Linked DNA regions of Stegostoma tigrinum. The protein of the gene in region 2 purifies or fractionates together with the protein of the main gene of each other region. This does not show direct contact. Links are inferred from orthologs where the notes say so. Each region holds a gene or a part of one and is shown on either strand. Other genes may lie near its edges.

Region 1 (3,751 bases), on a different chromosome or scaffold from region 2:
CCTGCTAGAAGCAAAATGAACCAGATGAACCTGCCGCAGGTTCCTTTAGGGCTGGGCCCCCTAAAAGATCAAAAGATATTCACTGCTGCTTGCTGTGAACAGCAACTCTGGCTGCTGTCCTCTTCCCTCATTTTTCCAAAAACAATACTAAAACAGTACTAAAAACAATACAAAGTACATCTGTGACTGTGCTGCACAATCACCCATCAGCCTCCTTAGATCACCTAGAACTTAGGGCATTGTTGACCACACCATCTTGCTCTAATGCAACTCCTTCACTATCCAGATAAGTGGGAATCATAAAATCAAACCTATAACTTTCCCCCTAAAAGATCAAAAGATATTCACTGCTGCTTGCTGTGAACAGCAACTCTGGCTGCTGTCCTCTTCCCTCATTTTTCCAATCAGCAAACTGACCAGGATCTAATCTAACATCTTTTCCATTCTGATCCCTAGGCTGACTTTGCAGACTCTCCCTTACAGTCTCTTTTCATGTCCTGCCTGAGTTCAACTTGCCCACACTCAGATCATCATGATTTCAAAATCCCTTTCCTGTTAAATTGTTGACGACCATTTTCCAGTACTTACTCACATGCTTCATTATATTATACACAGCTCCAATCTCACTTTCTTGCCACATTTCCAAACCTACAATTATTAAAACTCCACCTCAAAAAACCTACCCTTGGACAGTAAATTGAAACAAAGAACAATTGATTCAGAAACCAAACAAAAATAGAAATTGCTGGAGAAACACAGCAGGTCTGGCATCTGTGGAGAGAAAGCAGAATTAACACATTTACCCTTCAGAAATTTTACGGAAACTCAGCAGCCTTCCGATTTTCTTACCTTTAGACAGTGTTCACACAAGTTGACACTCCTGCTCTTTTTTCTTCTTCAATGCTTCTGCCAAAAATCATTAGCCAGCTTCTTTACAACACTATTTCTGAATCACCTGCTACAGTACTAAAAACAATACAAAGTACATCTGTGACTGTGCTGCACAATCACCCATCAGCCTCCTTAGATCACCTAGAACTTAGGGCATTGTTGACCACACCATCTTGCTCTAATGCAACTCCTTCACTATCCAGATAAGTGGGAATGCTTTTTACACTCTTTTGATTCACTATCTCACCACTTTGCAATCTCTCCATTGCCAGATGTCTAACATGCCATCACAACTCTAAACCCCAGACAAAGTGTAGAGCTGGATGAACACAGCAAGCCAAGCAGCATCTTAGGAGCACAAAAGCTTTTGTGCTCCTAAGATGCTGCTTGGCCTGCTGTGTTCATCCAGCTCTACACTTTGTCTCGGATTCTCCAGCGTGTGCAGTTCCTATTATCTCTGATATAACTCTAAACCCCACCTGGCCACTAATCCAGGGTGAACGAAATTGCTGGCAAATTTGGCACCTAAGTCCTGAACCGACTCTATATGCTCCCCATCAAAAACCAATTACTTCATTCTTCGTAACGTCACCCATCTATATTCCAGTCTCAAATTTACCACGGCTGAAACCCTCTTTCAGACTTGATTGGGGAGGGATTTCACGCCGTCAAAAAAAACTTTTTGGTTTGGAGACCAGCAGGTAAAAGCTAGTCGTCTGCTGAAAATAAAGTGCCCCGACTTTGCAACTAAAACAAAACTGTGAAAATTGTTAAAGAAAAAAAAGCTCGTCATAACTGTTGCATGAAACCTCAACGACAACATTAAATGCCATCAGAAGCTCCGCCCGCCAATCCATACCCAACATCCCTCTCCTCATTCATCGCTATCCTCAACTAGGAAATAGCAAGTCTCATTAATAATTATCACCACAACAGTAATGGACCAATGCTTTACTTAAAAGACAAACAAATGTAAGATGCATCAAAACATTAAGAGTGTGGAGCCCCCGTAAAGGCGGGCGGGATGGGGGGGCGGCGGTGGTGAACGGGGGCCGCTCAGGGAACTTCAAAACGGGCCCCGACCCAGAACTTACTCCTTAGCAGTGGAGATGTCTCCTTCTTCACGTACTTGCCCTGCACCTCCGGCGGTTTGGACGCTTCGTTTTTACTTTTCTTCCTCGATAACATCTCTTTAAAGAAGCACTCCGCCCCTCTAACATGGCGGGACCCACATACTAAGCGGAGCTCATCAGATCAGAGGCAGAAGCGAAATCCCAGCCGGCCGGCCTGCCCGCAGAATGCTGGGAAGCGGGAGGGGTGGGGGCAAGGCTGGGCATGCGCACTGCTCGACAAGGGGTTTTGCGCGAGGTTGTGTTGCGTTGGTGCTAAGCAGCTGAGTACCAGCTGATTGACTACAGCAGGCCCAGCAGCATCTTAGGAGCAGGAAAGCTGACGTTTCGGGCCTAGACCCTTCATCGGAAAGGCAATGGTCAATTCTTGTTAAACAAAAAGGATGAAAAGGTTATAGAATGTGAGGCTGGATGAACACAGCAGGCCCAGCAACATCTCAGGAGCACAAAAGCTGGGCCTGCTGTGTTCATCCAGCCTGACGTTTTATTATCTTGGATTCTCCAGCATCTGCAGTTCCCATTATCACAGGATGAAAAGGTTATAGGGTTTAGGCAGAAGTATGGGTTTGAATCAGATCGTTGAATGACAGAGACTCTCACTTTCTCTGTTTGTTAATATCCAGCTCCTAACCACTAGCACGATGCACTCATATCTGGTGTTATATTATTTGTAAAGAGCTGCGTTGTGAATACATATCCCAAGATGGTACATTTACTACTGCACTGCAGTCTACTGATGAACAGCAACAGACAACCAGCCAAATGCAGGTTATCCAAAGGTGCTGGGATGTGGGGCTGAGGGATGTGCTAAAAGTTGAGAAAAATCACCAAAGTGAGGCAGAAACTGGGCATTTCTTAAAATTGAAAAATACAAGCAGAAAATGTGTCTTCAAGGAAACAGAACAGCTCATTTGGGACTCTCATGCCCTGAAGTGGAAAAAAAAGCGTGATTGAAAAGGACAAGCTCAAGATATCGTAGGCTGCACTGCCAGAGCACATGAAGCCATCAGTAGAAAAATGATGATGCTGACTATCTATAAGGTGTGTCATTTAAGTCTGGTCTCCCTGTTACTGGGAGGATATTATTAAGCTGGAGATAGTTCAGAAGAGATTTGCCAAGATGTTGCCAGGTTGAGTTATAAAGAGAAGCTGGATAGACTGGGACTTTTTTCACTGGAGTGAAGGAGGTTGAGGGGTAACCTTATGGTGGTTCATAAAATTAATGAGGGTGTAGATAAGTTGAACGGCAGGTGTCTTTTCACTACAGTGTGGGATTTCAACACTAGAGAGTATATTTTTAAGGTGAGAAGAACAGCCCCCATGAGTAGCTATTCACCCTGCTAGACAGATCGTTATCCACTCCTTTGTCTGTCTCACTGATCTTCAACATTCTCCTAGCTGCCATCAGTTCTGAGGATGGATCACTCACCCGAAACATTAACTCTGATTTCTCTTCACACATGCTGCCAAACTTGCTGAGCTCTTCGAGCATTTTCTGTTTTTGATTTTAATTTAGAGCGTCCACAGTTCTTTCGGTTTTATTAAGCGGAATCATTATTTTATTCCAGTATCGGAAGAGGTCATGCCAGCACTGTCAGACACAAACAGAATATGCGTGGGGAAACTTAAAAAAGAAATTAAGCGAGCAAAAAGGGGGCCAAGTCAGTTGAACACTAGTGGTGGGAAAACTATCGGAAGTGATTCTGAGGGTATAATTAATCTGGAGTTAT
Region 2 (3,751 bases):
TGAAACGTTAACTGTTTTTTCTTTCACAGATGCTGCCAGATCTGCTGAGCTTTTCCAGCAATTTTGTTTTTGTTCCCGAATTCACAGCATCCACAGTTCTTTTGATTTTTATTTTGACGGAATTCACAACGTTCCACTTGTATAGATCTCACCTCATCAAACCCTGCGTTTACTAAATCCTGTAACATCTGTTTGTTTACATCCGTGAAACCACGAACTGAAGAACTGTACTCATTTGAAAATGGCAACAGGGAGTTCCGGATCTCCTGCAAGGCTTTTTGGTAAGTGACAAATTTAAGAGCATTCCGGCCTTGTTGTCTTGAATCTTCTGCACCCAATTTCATCATACTTTGATCAATGCTCCCAGCATCCCCTGATGGTTTGGGTAAATGCCTGAGACTTTCTCTGATTTCCTGCAACATCTGGCGGCTACTCCCAGAAAAGTTGCTGGCAGGGAATGTTTTGGGCCTCATTTGTCTATGTCCATCAGGCTTCTCTCCTCTCTTCATGAAGTTGTCGGCACAAACTAACCAATCTTGGCTCATTTACAGACGTTTACAGTAATTTACGGAAGTTCTAGCAGGTTAAAGGAGATCTTGGCTTTGTGTTAGATATTGAAGACCCTCAGCTGTGACGTTGTTGTTCTACTCATCTGCACATTTACAAGATCCAGTTAACTGAAACATAATAAACAAAGGCATTAGGTCAAACAAATCAACATTTAACATAAATTATGCAAATATGTTCCACTCATAAAAGTATGTCTACAAAACTAACTGAACTTCAGACTAATGCAAAACCAAAAGTAAAGCTCACTTCTATAAAGAAATTCATAATGATTCCTAGTTGCCAGCATCTTTTTATTCACTCTCCTAAAGTATCTCACGTTTTAAGATATCTCAAAGGATAACCTGTCTGTTGGTGCTGTCATACTGTGGGGACAGAGGATGCAGTGACAGGGTGACAGAGGGTGCCAGCACTGCACTTTTCCACACAACAGCAGCAGTTAATTCACATCAACTGACAGCAGAAACATTCATTGGGTTAAATGGAGAGAATAAACAAAGACCTAGAGGCTAAACAAAATCTATGGCCTCCCCCGCAAGATCAATCTGTGGCAAACTTTATCTGTAGGCTTCAGAAGCATACTACTCTGCAAATAAGCAATTCCACAGAGACAATTCATCACCTGTAGCATGTTAAAAGAATAACACACAGAATAATTACAAAAGACAAGGATCATATCTGGACTGCTCAGCTAGCTGGGACAAAACAAATCATGTATATGGACATTTTCATCATCAATGCCTTTCCAGCAAATACAGTGATTGTAAAACAACAGACTTAAAAATTTGATTATCACAGAAACAGACCTTGAAATATAAAATTTTTTCTCCACTTTGAACAGCTAATTTGATCCTCAATATTTATCATCACTTACCATATGGATACTTGGTAACTATCAGATGAAAAATCACATTAACGTGAAATACAAAGCTTTCACATTGCTCTATAACTCCACCCAGAAGCAGAAAGCCAACTTACTTTTCACACAGTATCAGTCTGACACAGAAACAGAACAGCACGGAAAAGGCCCTTCGGCCCACCATTTCTAGGCCAACCTTGATGCATTCTAAATTAATCCCATCAACCTGCACATAGTCCATATCCTCCATTCCCTGTCTGTTCACACATTCGTTTAAAAAGTAAAAAATACAAGATAATTAGGATCTTGAACTGTATTGGAGTATTTTTTCTTTAAACAAGGCTTTTATGAATGTCACATACTCATCGCATTGAAGTTTTGGATTACTGTCTGCAACTTTGAAACGTTTATTTGTGCAAACTATATACCATCAAACTGATACAAAGCAAAATAGGGCACCATCCACATGATTGCTCAATTGACACAAGTTTATTGTTTCTTGTAAATCTTTTGAAATGGTCAAGGCTAATATCACAACCTTAAATAGTGAGTCAGCCTCATGCATCTATCAATAAAGTAGCTTACTTAAGAAAACTGCTGCATTGTTGTTTCTACAGCAGAGAAAGTAAAGAAAATATAACAGATATGTTCACAATTAAGTAGGGTTCAAACTAAATAAGGATAAGCTGTTTCCACTGGCAGGGAGGAACTACAACTAGAGGACAAAGACTTAAAGTAACCGACAAAAGAATCAGAGGCAAAAATTATTGGGCAAGTTTATACAGCGAAAAATGATGCTCTGGAATATTTGCCGCATGCAACATTAGTGGAAATGAACTGTACATAGCTTTCGAAAGGGAAGTGAATAAAAACTGAAGAGGGAAGAAACTGCGGTGTTGAGAGATGAGCGGGAGAGTGGGATTAATTCGATAATTCAAAAGGACGACGACCGTCAGCAAGCACCCCCACCCCCGACCCGACTCGACTCTAAGGCACGAGGCCTGCGATAAGAGACCGGACCCAAACCCCGAGCCCGCCGCGGGAAGCTAGGCCTGCAACCGGAGCTCGGTGTCCAGGACTCTTCCTGCCCACGATCTCTCCTTTAGGCCCCACGGCCATTTTAGACTCGGGATCTTCTTGCCTTCTCACTACCAATTGCACCTCCACCCAGGATCGGCGACCCACTCCCCACGGCCCTCAGCGGGATATAAGGAAATAAACAGAACATCCTGTTTTATCACCCCGGTCAGCAGTCAATCCCCAATCTACCTACCCCACAGAAACCGTAATCCCACAATGGCCGCTCGTTAGACTCTCCGAAACGCAGCTCATCTCCTCCCGCGAGATCATAGACACAGTCTGCGTGAGTGGGTGTTTATCGCCCCCTCGGGCCAGGAGGAGTCACTGCCGCCAACTCCACCAAACGGCTTGGTGTGTACGTTCATAGGACTAACAGAAATCAAGATAGACCCTTCTTCAGAAAAAAAAGAGGGTCGAGGCAAGAATTATGAGCTTTCCTGCTTCTCTGATGCTGCTTGGCCTGCTGTGTGAATCCGGCACTACACCTTGTTATCTCAGATTCTCCAGCACCTCCAGTTTCTACTATCTCCTCAGTCCCAGAGGAATCACAAAGCTGTTCTCTCGTTAGACAGAGATGACTGCTGTGGGTACCAGAGGGGATAGGTCGAGAAGGTGGGGACATTCGTGCTAGTCTCAGCCAGCGAGGAAATTGAACCCACTGCGTTGATGTTACTCTGCATCGCCATCCAGCCAACTGATCTAATTGACACCCCTTTCAGCCACTGTTACACTTCAATGAGGCAGAACAATTCTGCTTTTCACGTCTTCTCAATTCTGCCCTTATGCCTGTTTAAAGGGGTTCAGGCCTTAGAATCAAGAAGCTGATACCATACTTTTGATATGATTAATTTTCACTAGTTTATAGGTTGCCATTTTGGTAGGATACAGAATTGTTTAAGGTGAAAGAAAATCTGTTTGAATTGATTTTCAATTTTACAAAAATTCATGACACCCTTGGACAGTACTCGCAACACATTGTTTGAAAACTACTGATCTGTAGCATTGAACATGGCTGGTTATGTTCTGCATAATACATATCCCAGAATAATATTTCAAGAGTCTGAGTTCAGTGCAACACTAAGAGAAGGCTGCACCATCAGTGGAATCAGGGAAGAAATGAAACCAAAGGAAAAGCCAGGGAGTTACGGACTGGTGAGCCTGACATCAGTGGTAGGCAATCCCGAGGGACAGGGTTTACATATATTTGGAAAGGGAAGGACTGATTATGTATAGACAACATGGCTC

Evidence for each region. The genes of interacting proteins can lie anywhere in the genome.
Region 1: the proteins of lats1 (region 2) and sav1 purify together in Homo sapiens (affinity purification with western blotting; 3 studies listed by BioGRID). This does not show direct contact. The link is inferred for Stegostoma tigrinum from reciprocal best matches to the Homo sapiens genes LATS1 and SAV1.

Annotation. Positions count from the first base shown.
Region 1 is NC_081363.1:44,308,820-44,312,570, forward strand, and holds the start of sav1 (protein salvador homolog 1), read right to left. Parts: upstream 2,183-3,751; 5' UTR 2,080-2,182; coding exon 1,986-2,079; intron 1-1,985. UniProt on the Homo sapiens protein: Regulator of STK3/MST2 and STK4/MST1 in the Hippo signaling pathway which plays a pivotal role in organ size control and tumor suppression by restricting proliferation and promoting apoptosis.
Region 2 is NC_081357.1:93,730,494-93,734,244, reverse strand, and holds the start of lats1 (serine/threonine-protein kinase LATS1), read right to left. Parts: upstream 2,784-3,751; 5' UTR 2,700-2,783; intron 678-2,699; 5' UTR 546-677; coding exon 153-545; intron 1-152. UniProt on the Homo sapiens protein: Negative regulator of YAP1 in the Hippo signaling pathway that plays a pivotal role in organ size control and tumor suppression by restricting proliferation and promoting apoptosis.